Lytechinus pictus: one gene and its partner. The protein of the gene in region 1 binds, or shares a complex with, the protein of each later gene. Links are inferred from orthologs where the notes say so. Each region holds a gene or a part of one and is shown on either strand. Other genes may lie near its edges.

Evidence for each region. Proteins that work in one complex are often made in the same cells at the same time.
Region 2: the proteins of non-structural maintenance of chromosomes element 3 homolog (region 1) and non-structural maintenance of chromosomes element 1 homolog are in contact, whole or in part, in a crystal structure (PDB 7DG2), measured with the Xenopus laevis proteins. The link is inferred for Lytechinus pictus from reciprocal best matches to the Homo sapiens genes NSMCE3 and NSMCE1. Residues at the interface, in XP_018121157.1 of Xenopus laevis: Gly57, Glu58, Val60, Gln61, Tyr62, Leu64, Ile65, Lys66, Gln68, Lys69, Val82, Thr100, Gln102, Gln103, Val104, Phe105, Gly106, Phe107, Asn123, Leu125, Gln126, Arg127, Val128, Gly130, Asp131, Gly132, Met133, Arg134, Asp136, Glu137; in NP_001083134.1 of Xenopus laevis: Ile5, Glu7, Gln10, Arg11, Leu13, Gln14, Ala15, Met17, Ser18, His19, Leu30, His33, Leu37, His38, Leu54, His57, Leu58, Pro60, Leu61, Phe62, Met63, Val84, Asn86, Ile88, Thr89, Met91, Ala92, Ser93, Asp94, Gln149.

What each region holds. Positions count from the first base shown.
Region 1 is NC_087247.1:43,388,060-43,395,349, reverse strand, and holds the start of non-structural maintenance of chromosomes element 3 homolog, read left to right. Parts: upstream 1-4,056; 5' UTR 4,057-4,429; intron 4,430-4,456; exon of another isoform or gene 4,457-4,561; intron 4,562-7,290. Other genes in the region: NADH dehydrogenase [ubiquinone] 1 alpha subcomplex assembly factor 3-like, read right to left, coding at 1,727-1,818. UniProt on the Homo sapiens protein: Component of the SMC5-SMC6 complex, a complex involved in repair of DNA double-strand breaks by homologous recombination. The complex may promote sister chromatid homologous recombination by recruiting the SMC1-SMC3 cohesin complex to double-strand breaks.
Region 2 is NC_087261.1:31,457,228-31,465,377, forward strand, and holds the start of non-structural maintenance of chromosomes element 1 homolog, read right to left. Parts: upstream 3,034-8,150; 5' UTR 2,919-3,033; intron 1-2,918. UniProt on the Homo sapiens protein: RING-type zinc finger-containing E3 ubiquitin ligase that assembles with melanoma antigen protein (MAGE) to catalyze the direct transfer of ubiquitin from E2 ubiquitin-conjugating enzyme to a specific substrate.

The DNA of each region.
Region 1 (7,290 bases):
TATCTAAATTTTGAATATCTTTTAATAGCTGTTTCTTTACATTTTTTTTCTTTCTTGTTGCGTGTACAATAATCTATACAAGTACCAGTAATTGTGCACTTAAGAGTCCCATAAAATATTAGGGTTACATTCACTTTCTGAATGAGTTTGATGCGCAAGATTTGCAATGGACCGACCACACACTGATTCCTATATACCCCCTTCAAACTTTGTTTGGCGGAGGTATAATGCACTTTTCAATTATATTCCTGGCCCTGGGGGTCCCGGGACATAGCCGGGAATGTATAAGACTGTCCCTGGCCCACAATTTGAAACAAAATTTTGACAAACTTTACAAAATGGTCCCTTTTTTTTATACGCACTGTAGTTGCCGGTTCGACATATGATAGTTCTTATTTTATCCAAAAGATATTGAAATTTACCGTCATTTTGATATTAATTTTCTTAAACCCGGGCAATTGAATTTGAGAAATGCTTGCCCACACATCATTTCTAGTTGCCTCAGGCAAGCAGGTTTGTTGCACCCTGAGGACAAATTCTAAAGAATAGATCAATTAATGCAAGATAAATAAACGAATGAATGAATGGATAAACGAGGAAATATCTAAACATGAATAAATAATTTCATAAGTAAACACCTACAAAAGGCTACATGCAAGATTTATATCTAGATCTGAACTGGGTTCCAAAAGAATGATTTATATGTGTGAGGAACTCGATGCTGGCTCTAAATCACCAATTTTGAGGCTAACTGAAGGATGGATATGGTCTTATGGAGTGAAATCAGGATGGAAAGTAAGAAATTAAGCTTCTGATTTCTGGAATGGAACTAGACCAAAAGCTTCGGTCTCTGTTATGTTGGTTGTTCCGCTGAACTCCGTTGGCTCCACTCACCAAATACAGAGACCGAAGTTCTAGCTCAATCTGTACAGGGGACTCATGACAATGGCCATATGTTTATGTATTTAGTTTGGATAAAACAGGGAAGTGAAGTTGCGCGACAGCCGAAGTAAGTCACTGTTTTTTCCCCTTTTAAGTTTATTTTCCCCGTTTGGTGCATTTCAGGCCAAAACGGAATAATAATCTTGACTTTATTTTGGTACAGTTCTTTTTATATATTTTTATGAAATAAAGGCAAAAATCGATGAGCCCCGTCGGGGGGATTTTGCATTGTTAATCCCCTAATGGTGGCTGCACGATAGCGAGCCATCTGTGTATGAGGAGAAATAAAAAATAATAAAAATGTTAAAAAACTCCTCGAAACAGACGGCTGACAGCTGTCTAGAATGGAACCTGCACAAACATCAAGTTAAGACTTTTTGTAACGAGTCACAGACACAGGAATCAGGATGATTTTATAAATAAGACTGAGGATGAAAAAAATGTATTTGCAAATAAATATACCAATAAATGATTTAAAAAGACAACAAAAGACATCAGCAACATCAGCGCCTCAATCAAGCACACATGTCTTCCTTCAGTTAGGTGGCCACGCCAATTATATTATCGCGGTATGCAATTTCTGATCTACGCAAGTGAGCGGGTGATATCATCTTTCTGTGATAAATGTGTTCGAATTGTACATGGGCTAACTAACGTCATGGTCAATGAACAAAAATGTGGAAATAAATGTATTTACTCTTTCCTCCCGCTCCCGACTTTTCTACCAGCAAACAAGCAAATGATGGGGCCCAATATCAAACTTCAATACGAAATTGCAAATCACCTTTTGCCAGACGACAAGCTGGAAAGAAACTTCCAGTGGAAGAGCGCAGTCTTTTCGAGACTTCTGAACCCAGAGACAAAACTAGATGCCATGTTTAATGTTTAGCTGTCGAGTATACACCACAATACTATACCCATACTCGGAGATTGTTATGCAACGTCGATCAGGCGCGCGCGCGGGCCGCGCATAGGTGTGCTGCTCTGCGTTCTCATGTCAATTACCGGTATTCATTTTCTTTCTTTCTTTCATGTGCCTTGAAAATGTATCCACTAACAAAGTTAGATAAACAAGTCGCCGATGATTTTTTTCTTTGTTCTCCTGATCACTTCATAATCTTAATTTGTAAATATTAGTCAATTAAGTTGTTTATGCGATGCATAGTTTGTATGTTGATGATTTATTAATAAAAACATGACATGTTTATGTCGTAAAATATGAAAGTCATATTTAAGAGGTAAACAATCAAGTGGAATGACTATCTGCTGTCTCACCTGCATCACGCGATATAGTAGCAGTGCTGACTTTGAAAACTAATATAATTATTCACAAAAAACACCATTCATATATAATGATACAATACTATATACGATCATTGACATTTGAACTTGATCATGTGACCTAAAACTTGTCAGTGCACTTGATTACCCCTATATCCACATTTTATACATTATATGACAGCAAATATAGTAAGTTACCTCTAAAATAGCCAAAGTTCAATGACCTTAAATGACCTTTGACTTTGCGGTCATGTGACCTGAAACTCGCACAAGATGTTCAGTGATACATGGTTATACTCTTATATCCACGTTTTGAACTAGACCAACAGGCCTACACTTACAGAGAATTCAACAAATACGTCCAACATGGCCAAAGTTCATTGACCTTAAATGACCTTTGACCTTGGTCATGTGACCTGAAACTCGGACGGGATGTTCAAAGATACCTGATTACTCTCATGGCCAAGTTTCATGAATCAGATCCATATAAACTTTATTATGATGGTAATTCAACAGATACTAGCCAAAATTCATTGACCTTTGACGTTGGTCATGTGACCTGAAATTCGCACAGGATGTTCAGTGATACTTGATTACTCTTATGTCCAAGTTTTATGAACTAGACCAATAAACTTTCAAAGTTATGATGGTAATTCAACAAATTCCCCCATTATGGCCAAAGTTCATTGACCCTAAATGACCTTTGACCTTAATCATGTGACCTGAAACTTGCACATGGATGTTCAGTGATACTTGATTATATACTATTATGTCCAAGTTTCATGAATCAGATCCATAAACTTTCAAAGTTACGGATGGAAATTCAACAGATAGGCCTATATATAGGCCTACCCCCAATTTGGCCAAAGTTCATTGACCCTTAATGACCTTTGACCTTGGTCATGTGACGTGACACTCAATGATCAGGATCGATGTTCAGTAATACTTGATTAACTTATGTCCAAGTTTCATGAACTATAGGTCCATATATTTTCTAAGTTATCATGACGTTTAAAAAAATTAACCTTAGGTTAAGATTATGATGACATTTCAAAAACTTAACCTTAGTTTAAGATTTTGATGTTGATTCCCCCAACATGGTCTAAGTTCATTGACCCTAAATTACCTTTGACCTTAGTCATGTGACCTGAAACTCAGGCAAAATGTTCAGTAATACTTGATTAACCTTATGGCCAAGTTTCATGAACTAGGTCCATATACTTTCTAAGTTATGCTGTCATTTCAAAAACTAAAAATTATAGATTAAGATTTGGTGTTGACGCCGCCGCCTAAAGCGGCGCCTATAGTCTCACTCTGCTATGCAGGTGCCCGGTGCATGCAGGTGAGACAAAAATTGGGCGAGGCCTAGCTATATGACGTCAATTTAAAAAAAAATGCCCAAGTGGCACCCGTCGGATTCTTGAATTAGACACCATACACTACAACTTTCAGCAAAAAATTGTATATATACCGTACCCATAGAGATATATCTCTATGACCATACCCAACTTGACGGTTTTGCAATAATTTTGATCATATCTACCCGACTGTAATCTGGGCATTCTAGAAAGTACATTTTTTTCATAATGAAAACTAATATAATGCGAGCGCGAAGCACGAGCTGAAAATATTTGATATTCTGATCTGAAAAAGGGTTAATTTAAGCACTATTTCAAGCACTGTATAGGGAAATTCTGAAGGGGGAGTGTTCATACAAAACGTTCATTTTTATTAAATTTCTGTCATTTATCATACCTATCAGATTTCCAGGGGGTGCTGTCTATGGAAAATAACACACGTTTTGTATGACAATAAATTCCCGTTGTAATCGGCTTTCCATACTCGAGCTTCTCTCGATCTCGCGCGCTACCTCGAATTTTTCTCCAACTATCCACCGCGCCAGCGCCAGGTAAGGGGGGTTTTTCTCCGGCACACGCCGGGCCGGCCGGGGACGCAGGCTGGCAGCTAGCCCGCACCGTGCACCGTGTCCGTGACTGCATGCGCAAGTGCCACAACCAAGACACTTCTCTCTAGTCTCGATCTCCACTAGCATCTCAACTGTTCTATTCAATCAAAGTACTCTGACTCTGACCTGAAACCACCAAGGCGCAAGTCTTCATGAAACCATCTCTAACAGTACCGGTACGGTACCGTAATTAGTTTGTGCTGATCTTACACTTGGCCTTACTTTTCGCTCATTGAATTTGTAAGTTTTCTTCTATTTTTTTAACAGCAACTTTGTCTTGACTTTGCTTTGGCCTTTGGCTTGGGCCTGGCTTTGGACTGGCCGGGAAATCGGGCGCCCCTACGACTTTACGTTAATGATTTCAGTGCATGGGTGAGTGGACAATGAAATGTTTACTTAGTTTTAATGGATATGAGGTTCCGATGTTCAGGATGTTCGGATACTTAAAAATAAATTAAATTATAAATAAAGCCAAGGCGCAATTCGTTTGCCCTTGCTTGTCTGACTTTAACCCAGAGAGCTCCCGCCCGCACAGCGGGCAGGAGCCCAGAAGCTTACCGTGTATTTTACCATTGTCACCGGACTAGGGTGATTTATGGTCTAAATATTTCTCCAAATGAATTGTGAAAACAGAAAGTATACAATTACCATGATTATATGGATGAAGGTCTAACGAGTGGCAGATTCCTGACATCTGGGCACAGTCTGGAACCTCAAAAAAACGAAAAGTTCTCTCCTTCTACCCCGTCTCGATCGGCCATTTTTGTTAAAAATCGTAACAAAATGGCCGATCGAGACTGGGTAGAAGGAGAGAACTTTTCGTTTTTTTGAGGTTCCAGACTGTGCCCAGATGTCAGGAATCTGCCACTCGTTAGACCTTCATCCATATAATCGTGGTAATTGTATACTTTCCGTTTTCACAATTCATTTGGAGAAATATTTAGACCATAAATCACCCTAGTCCGGTGACAATGGTAAAATACACGGTAAGCTTCTGGGCTCCCGCCCGCTACGCGGGCGGGAGCTCTCTGGGTTAGTCTGACTTAAGACGATATCTAGAAAATTGGTGGCCCCGGCCCGGGGCCTGTCTCGCCCTCGGGTAGGAAAGAAATTAATTAGATGTAAACATCCCTAACAACCTCGGGCCACCTTGAGAGGTAGGTCTAGTCACGGCCAGGCCCGGCCCTGGGCCTGCCCTGGTCCACCGATTTGTAGATGGTAAACACAAATCTACCTCGAACCTGTCTCAGTCCATTTGCCAGCTGTCGCAAATTACGTCAAAGCGCAAAAATTTCCAGGTTCAAAAGAGAGGAAAAGTGTGACAAGCAAGAAGAAGAAAAAAAAAGAAATTAAAGAGAAAGCAGGAGGGGGAGAAGAAAAGGAAGAAGAAGAGAAATAAGGAAGAGAAGAAGAAGATGAAGAAGGACACAAAGAAGAAAAAAGGAGAAAGAGAGGAAAAAAGAAGAGAAAGGAGAAGAGGAAGAAGGGCAGAAGAAGAATTAGAAAAAAGATAGTAACAAGAGGAGAAAGAAGAAGAAAAAAGAACAAGGGAAGAAGGAGAATAAGAGGGGGAAGGAGAAGAAGAGGATAAAAGAAGAAGAGAAAGGAGAAGAAGAAGAATAAAGATAGGAGGAAGAAGAATAAAAGAAGAAGGGAAGAAAAAGTAGAAGGGGAAACAAGATGAGAAAGAAGAAGAGAAAAAGAAGAAGAGGAAGAAGGAGAATAAGAGGGGGAAGGAGAAGAAGAGGATAAAAGAAGAAGAGAAAGGAGAAGAAGAATAAAGATAGGAGGAAGAAGAATAAAAGAAGAAGGGAAGAAAAAGTAGAAGAGGAAACAAGAAGAGAAAGAAGAAGATGAAAAAGAAGGAGAAGAAGAAAGAAGAGGAAGGAGAATAAGAGGGGGAAGGAGAAGAAGGGAAAAAGAGAAGAGGAAGGAGAAGTCTTAAAAACAAAACCCTTGACAAGCATTCGTATCTGCGCGATTCTAATAAAAGATACGCAACGAGCACGAACTTTATGAATTTAGGGCATTTCATGTGACGGCCTCAAAATGCAGCCTTTCTCATCAAAATCCCCGAATCGTGTGCAAAGTGAATGCGTGCGCAGACATGGGGTATCATTTTTTTTCAATCTGAAAATGACTGCCCAAGGTTTTTTCAAGAAAATCCTATATTTTCTTTCATTTTTTAATGAGAAATTTGGTACATTTACTCTTAATAATGTAAGGAACATTATTAATTGAAAGATTTTGTGAAATAAGAAGAAATTCATGTTAAATCTTAACTCAAATTGTTAGGTGCGCAGACTTGGGGCCCACCATCATACATGTATGGCAAGTTCCCCCAAGTCTGCGCACACGCGTATCTGCGCGATTCTAGTAAAAGAAGATACGCAACGAACACAAACTTTACACATGCAATACATAGAAAGATATTCATTAAAGAATCCAACTCAAAATGGTGGAAAAATAATGAATTTGGGGCATTCCATGTGACGGCCTTGAAATGCAGCCTTTCCCATCAAAATCCTCATATTGTGTGCAAAGTGAATTGGTGCGCAGATATGGGTACCATTTTCTTTTTCAATCTGAAAATGAGTGCCCAAGGTCTTTTCCAAGAAAATCCAAGATTTCTTCCAAATTTTTATGAGATATTTTGTACACTTACTCATAATAATATAAGAAACATCTGAAAGATTTTGTGTAATAAAAAATAATTATGGTAAATCTTAACTCAAATTGTTAGGTTCGCAGACTTGGGTACCACCATCATACAGTGATAGTTAAACAGCCCAGCATTCCTCTTTTAGCATGTGTATACACATTTGAGTTACAATTACATCAGAGAAGCAAATCAACAAACAAACAACTAATGGAGTGATGAGAAAGTTTGCAATTAAAGGACAAGTCCACCCCAACAAAAAGTTGATTTGAATAAAAAGAGAAAAATCCAACAAGCATAACACTGACAATTTCATAAAAATCGGATGTAAAATAAGAAAGTTATGACATTTTAAAGTTTCGCTTAAAGGGGAATCCAGCCTTGGCCGTAAAATGGTGTGTTGGGAAGGAGAAAAATAAATTAAACTAAATGGTGAAAGTTT
Region 2 (8,150 bases), on another chromosome or scaffold:
CGTAAAACCCAAAGTAGAGGAATAAAAGCAATATAGCTATATGAAGCTGCTTTCTATTGTTGACCTCGTACCATCTAATATCCAATAACCCCAGGACGATAAAACCTACTTTTTGGCTGAAAAAAACTATAATAATTGGAAAATTTAGGTATAATTACCTTTTAACTCTACAAATAATGGTTTAAAAGTACTAATCATAGGAAAAACAAATTGCCTGCCCCCAAATACATATGAATAGACACCAAAACCAGAGAAAAAGACCACCAAATAAAGAAGTTGTGGCCAAAACTGTGATTTTGGGGGGTTTGGCGGCCATTTTGGATTTTGGCCCGGCACACTTTTTTCTCGGACTCGAGACAAAAAATATTATCATTTCATGTTGAGATACATTACAAGGAATAAAAAAAAACTGTTGTCATATTGAAATTACAAAAAAAGTATTTTTGACCCATGTATAGCCCACTCCTAATGTTAAGAAACAAAAAAAATAATAATGTTCCGCTCCCAACTGTTGAGCACTCTACCCGGCTATCCTCGCGCTGCATTATGATATTTATCAACCGAGGCAAGTATTTTACGATTCATGATATTTATCGGCCGAGTCAAGTATTTTTAAAATTCAAATTGGCAGCTATACACACGTGTGGTATCTAGGTATCAATAACAAAGACATCAAGATGGCGACCAAAACAGACTTGGTAAGTCAACGCTCGTGCTCGTCTTAATTATTTTTCATATTATACACCCAGTTGTTGTGTGTCCGGACAGGTTGTGTGTCCGGACGATCAATTTTAGAAAGTCATTTGGAAAATTTTACAGGTGAAGTTTCATCAATTTTTGGTACAAAATGTTAGGAAATATTATAGAGAACAAAATAGAAGATGATTACAAATTACAACTACATGTATTGAATTCATATTTTTTAGTGTAATCCAAAGACAAAAAAGAAGGGCTTCAAAAATATAGTGTCCGGACACCCGAACCCCCCATCCTACTATTTATTGAAGGAATATATACAAACATATTAAATTTGGGGGGAAAACTTAGTTATCCTTACCAAATAATTTAGCTCTACTTTTACCGTGGGAAAACCTACAGTGTGAATAGACCAATGCGTAAGCGAACCAGGCGTCAGTGGGGAGTAAAAGTCATCTACTCTACTACTAAGACTACGTAGAGACTAGACAGCTGGCAGCCGTCTGTTTCGAGGAGTTTTTTTAACATTTTTTTATTTTTAAAATTTCTCCTCATACACAGACGGCTCGCTATCGTGCAGCCACCATTAGGGGACTTACAATGCAAAATCCCCCCGTCGGGGCTCTTCAATTTTTGTCTTTAATGAATCAAACTTTTGAAAATTAACGCGACCGAAATGCAAATTAATATTCCCTCTAGCCATTAATTGCCAAAAAACGGGGAAAATCAAGTTAAAAGGAACAAAAACAGTGACTTACCTCGGCTGTCGCGCAACTTCACTGCCCTGTTTTATCCGAACTTAATACACATAAACATATGGCCATTGATCCCCTGTACAGATCGCGCTAGAACTTCGGTCTCTGTATTTGGTGAGTGAAGCCAATGGCAATGGAGTTCAGCTGAACAACCAACATAACAGAGACCGAATCTTTTGGTCTACGTAGAGACTAGAGTAGATGACTTTTACTCCCCAGACGCCTCCAGGCTAGGTAGGAGTATCGAGTAGGACTAAGAGTGCTGCCAGGCCAGGCACCGGATCTGCCGCGACCCCGGGGGGGGGGGGGGGGGGGGGGGGGCACTCGACCAAAAAAGTGGTAGGGGTGTGCCGCGGGCGAGACAAAAAACGGGGGCCTTGGAGCGGGCTTATTGTAAAAAGGAGGGTCCTCGGAACGGGCTTTGGAACTACAAATGTTTGTGAAAACGGGGGTCCTTGGAACGGATCGCCAGCGTGTGAGTGCGTATGCATGATGTGCATGATGCAGCTAGCCTGGCAGCCCGGCCGTCAAGTGCCCTCGCGCAGAGGCGATGGTCGGACAGCGCTCTGCGGCCGCTTTTCGATAAGAAGAAAATGCTATGCTTTGGAGCGGCTTTCTTTGTTCTTTTTCTCAATAAGACAAAAATGCTATGCCTTGGAACGGAAATTTGAGTGTAAAAATGGGGGTCCCCTCCGCGGCACATACCCACTATGCATTATATACTGAGTGCCCCCCCCCCCCCCCGGGGCCGCGACAAGCTACAACTTAGCTCTAGGCGCTAGTGTAGTTTCGCACCTCCCCGTTTAATGGTTTTCAAACATGTACAATCTCACCCTAAATAATTCACAACCTAAAATACTTGCATCTGAGCCTCCAAAGTCCAGTAGAAGTTGAATATTTGCCGTTTTGACACTTTTTTTACAAAGTTTTACACCTATTTCGGAATCACTCGGTCGCTTGATCAAGCTCAGCGCTGCACATAAGCAGTCAGTACGCGTACGGTACGTACCACCTAGACCTAGTGTCTAGGGAAGTGCAAGAATTAGAGCGAGTTTTTCTATAAAAAGTAGGCCTAGGCCTATGGTATCTTCAAAAAATGTTTGAAAACCATTATTCGGGGAGGTGCGAAACTACACTAGCGCCTAGCTCTACACTAACCCACTTATCCTACGAGTACGAACAAGGTTATAATAACGCACTAAGTGACTAACCCAGCAATGCATGCCCAGCACGGCCCAGGCAGCTCGGCAGGGAGCTTCGGCCCGCGAAGCGGGTGCTGCAGCGTCAAGACTGTCATCATTCATGGTCAGTGACAGTGAGTTATCATGGCACGCCATGGTTAACTTAACGTGACTTAAGTTCAATAAACTAGGATAGTAAATCCAAATAACGCTATACCGGTACAATAAAGGGCTTACCTAAAATAAGCTTTACATTACAGTCCAGCGACAAAGTTTGTTTACTTACTTATTGATCTTCAAAATCTCTGAATTTATAACTTGACTTGAAATAAGGTTTCGAAATTCGAATTCCCACTCCTAGTTCAACCTGCCTACAACTTTATGCTGCCATCTCCGTCGTCATCTGAAAAGGGGATTTCCCCCAATGTATGACGCATTCCCCCCCCCCCCGCCCCCATGGCCGACCCTTGGTTTTTTAAACGACACATGCTATGATGAAAAATATTGCACTCTGTGTAAAAGTGACAGTATTGGTGATGAATTTCATGCTATCTTTGAATATGCAGCTTCTTAAAGACCACGAGGTCCAATTGATAGTCAAGATATTATTGTAAAAAACAAATACTTTTAAAATCCCAGAAGGAAAAACCAGTAAGACCAGTAAGAATTTTTGCTGGTTTCCAGTAGAATTTTACTGGTGTCCAGTATATTTTTACTGGGCCAGTTGATTTTTAACTGGACCAGTAAAAATAAACTGGAGACCAGTTCCAACAATTGCATTCCAGTTGAAGCAAAGTAGTAATACCAGTTAAATTGTTTTTCATCAAACTGGTGTTACTGGTCCAATAAATGGTTTCCAGTAGATTTTTACTGGTTTCCAGTATATGTTTACTGGACCAGTTGATTTTTAACTGGACCAGTAAAAATAAACTGGACACCAGTTCAAACAATTGCATTCCAGTTGAAGCAAAGAAGTAATACCAGTTAAATTGTTTTTCATCAAACTGGTGTTACTGGTCCGATAAATAATGATTTTATTTCAAGTCAGATCATTTGACGAATTATGGAAAATGAATCTTGAAATTCAGAGAAAGTTATTATCGTTATCGATTGTTACCATCATTCTTATAATTATCATGATTATTATTTTTATGATTATTATGATCATTGTTGTTATCATTCTTATTACTGTTATCATTGTTATTGATATTGTAATTATTATTATTAACATTATCATAATTATCAAGTATTAACATTATCATTGAAATATAATTATTTCCTTTAATTATGATTAAGAGCAAGATATATTCCTCTGATATAGTCAACTGGTCTACAGTAAAATTGTTTGAAATTGAACTGGTCAAGACCAGTAATACCAGTAATTCTGATGATGCTGATCACGTGGTTTACCTCATTTGCATATTTCCTGTTTTTAAAAGAAAAATCAGGATTTAGAATGGAATATCCTTGCAATGGCACTCATTGTTGTTTAAAAACTTTCTGAATAAGTGTGTGAACTAATTCACAATGAAAATGTGTAATTTCATATATCACATTTAAAATAACAGCAGAAAGATTAATTTACTAACCATCTTTTCCATCACATTTCACTGACCATGGTATATAACAAACCAAATGCATGTAACTGGGCGTTGTGGCGTGCGCCTGTAATCCAAGCTATGTGGGGAAGTTACAAATTGATGCAGAGATTCGAGGTTCGATCCCTGGTCACGTCTTTCGGATGGTGACGTTAAAGGTCGGTCCCAGACGTTTATAATCATATCTGATTGATACACGTCTGACAAAACTCAAATACACACACACACATTAAATTGATCCAGTTCGACCAGTTTGAGGACCAGTCAGACCAGTAGAGAAAATACCAGTAAAGACCCGCTTAAATTGGATACCAGTGTGAAGACGTAACCTTCGATCATCCTCACAACATCTTCTCACTGTTCCCTCCACAAATACAAATACATATGGTCAAAGAGCCCTTTCTTTATCTGCCGCTGTACTCTGGAATTCTCTACCTTTAAATATAAGAACTGCACCATCTTTCCCCATCTTTAAATAAATGCTCAAAACTCACTTATTTTCAAAATAGTATTTTATGATGATAAATATATTATGTTGTTAAATATTGTAAGTTTTCATTTCATTAATGATGTAACTTTATGTATTGATTTAATTTGTTCTAATTTGTATTAAGTATTTTAGGATTAAGGTTTAGGTTTATTGTATGATTCAGATAAGATTTAATGTATTATTTATTGAATATATTTTGTAAAGCGCATAGAGAGTCTTTTGACTATTATGCGCTATATAAATTTCAAATATTATTATTATTATTATTAAGACCAGTGAGACCACCAGAAACAAGACCAGTATAAAATTCCAGTAATTCAAGACCACTTTAATTTTTAACTGGACCAGTAAAATTTTAACTGGACCAGTATGACCAGTTAGACCAGTAAACCGATGTTCCAATTTCCAGAGTCACCAGTTAAAATTATACTGGTCTTACTGGTCCAGTGGAACTGGTTTCTCCTTCTGGGATGGAATCGGGGGGGGGGGGGGTCCAATGACGAATGGATACCATGCGCGACCATGGGGTTTCGAAAAGCACCCTAAACAAGTATTTTCCATATTCTGAAAATGCATCACTTTACAAGTATAGGCGTGTGAGTGAAAACCTACCTTACCCTGTAACCCGGGGGGGGGGGCACTTCCATTGACGAGTGGATACCATGTGCGACCACGGGTAACACGTATTTTCCATGTTCTGAAAATGCACCCCTTAACAAGTATTGGCGTCTGAAACCCTACCCTTAACAAGTATTGGAAACAAAACTATACTCTTGGCAAGTATTCCCTGAAATGAACCCCTAAACAAGTATAAAGCGATATTTTATTGGTGTGTCACGGGTCCGTCGGTCGTCGGTTTTACCTAATTTACCCCCGGGGGGCCACTTACATTGACGAGTGGATACCATGCGCGACCAAAAAAAACACGTAAAAATGATGTCTTTTTCAAGATAGGGCACGTTACGTACGTAACGTGATAAGGGTGTCAAAAACACAAAAATAATGAAAAAAGGGTATCTATTTTGCTATGAAAATTACGTGTTTATGGTCAAAATTGCGGGGATGATAAAACGAAATTAAAATGTTTTATAAAGGATGTCCTTTAGTTTTTGCCCCAACACTACGTGTTTAGAGTCCGATTTGCGCGTGATGTAGAAGGTGGGGTCGTACTAAACCAAATGATGTACAGTACATACAAAGTAAAACTGACGTCCGAAGGACCCGTGACAAAACAAAAAAACATTCCTGTACATGTTTAAGGGTTCATTTCAGGAAATATTTGCCAAGAGTATCGTTTTGTTTCCAATACTTGTTAAGGGTAGGGTTTCACACGCCAATACTTATTAAGGGATGCATTTTCAGAATATGGAAATTACGTGTTTAGGGTGCTTTTCGAGACCCATGGTCGCGCATGGTATCCACTCGTCAATGGAAGTGCCCCCCCCCCCCCGGGTAATTTACACAACATTTGTTTTAGTACGGCCCCCACCTTCCTCACCTCACGCAAATCGGGACTCTTAACACGACGTGTAGGGGCAAAAAGGACATCCTTTATGCAGCATTTTAATTTTGTTTTATCATCCCCCAAAATTAGACCCTAAACACGTAGCTTTCCTAGCGAAATAGATACCCTTTTTTCATTATTTTTGTGTTTTGACACCCTTATCACGTTACGTACGTAACGTGCCCTATCTTGAAAAAGACATCCTTTTACGTGTTTTTTTGGTCGCGCACATGGGCGGAAATCCCAGGGGGGACAGGGGGGAAGTGTCCCCCTACCGAAAATAGTAGGGGGGACACAATATCAAATGTCCCCCCTACTATTTTTGGTCTTTTATGATGGAGAAAAATGCATCATTCACATTCGAAATATTACATGTATTTTGGACTAAATGACCTTACGTTTTTGGGTAAAAACCTTTTTTTTTTTGGGGGGGGGGGGGCTTGTCAAATTTTCCAAAGTGACTAAAATAAGATTAGGGGAAGACTTGGAAAATAAAAAGAATCTTTCATGTCACTATATGAAATTTTCGCTCGCGCTTCGCGCTCGCATTGCCTGTCAGGTGATTTTTCAATATGTAGCTTAAATATCAAGTTTGGAAGTCAATATACATTACACATTTCACCTCGGAAATCGAACTTTCATTATTTTGTGTGATTTACAAACTGATTTTTAAAAAGTGCTCTGTAAAAGTGACAGCTTCATGGTCTGAATATTGAAATTTTCTGCTCGCACTGAGCGCTCGCAAATTTCGATTTATTAAGTACCTTTTATTTTTGTGTATTCCATTTAATTTGAAAAAAAATCAAGTCTGATTGTCAAAACGTATCAGATAGCGCTGGCTACTCGCTCGCATTTTAATTGGCGATTTATGTATGTCTCAATTTTGATTTTCATGACAGTTTATCAAAGATATTGGCTCGCAATTTGCGCTCGCATTCATGGTTAAAAAATATTTTGACTGATGCATTCTATTCATAATTACAAAATTGCTTGAAATGTCCAGTTTTCAGGCCATAATATCATCAGATTTCTCACCCTCATTAGGCATTAATAAATAAGATATTAATAATTTAACGATTAAGTTGTCTCTTTTGTTTCATCTCGCGCTTAGCAAGAGGAATAGGAAGATAGTCATCATTTTCATATGACATGTCCCAAGGATGTCCCGGTCCTATGTCAAAACTCAATTAACAATAAAAACTATCAGCTCTTTATTAAGTGCGATCCATATCCACCTCACAATTTTCCTACAAAGTGCTTGAAATATATAGCTGAAATGGACTCTTTTTTAGATTTTTCATGATAAAAGAGGTGTAGAATGCCTAGATTCTAGGTCTAAATCTGAAACACGCGCATGTTTATTCAGATATTCAACTTGTTCTCTATTCAAATCATTATCCAGTTTCAGATCACAATATCAAAAATTGTCTGCTTGCGCTTTGTGCTCGCATTATTAATGTAGAAAGATCCCCTATTAAGCCCCTTTCACAATTGACGTACGATCATTTGCGACCTTTTGGTCGTGCGACAGGCTGCAACAGGCATCAATCGCCAGTCATCTCATAAGATCGCACAGAGGCTTTCACAGTTGCAACAGCTGTCGTACAACAAAACCAACCAGTAAAACCCGTTGCACGAGTAAGTCGCTTATGATCCTATTGTGCTCGTGCGATCACATGCGAGTGTTGCACGGGGGATTGCGAGGGGAACGGTCGCATACAACGGTAGTGCAATGTTGTAAGCCGTTGCGATCGGTCTTGCAACAGTCTTATGGCCCATCATATTATCGCACCCAGTCGCAAGACAGGTCTCTGTACATGTAGGTCGCTAGCACATGTGCAAGTGCTGTACGACCTCCAGTCGAGTAAATGCGACTACTTAGTTGTGCCACCTCTCGCACCAAGTCGTGCAACGTTGAACAACACT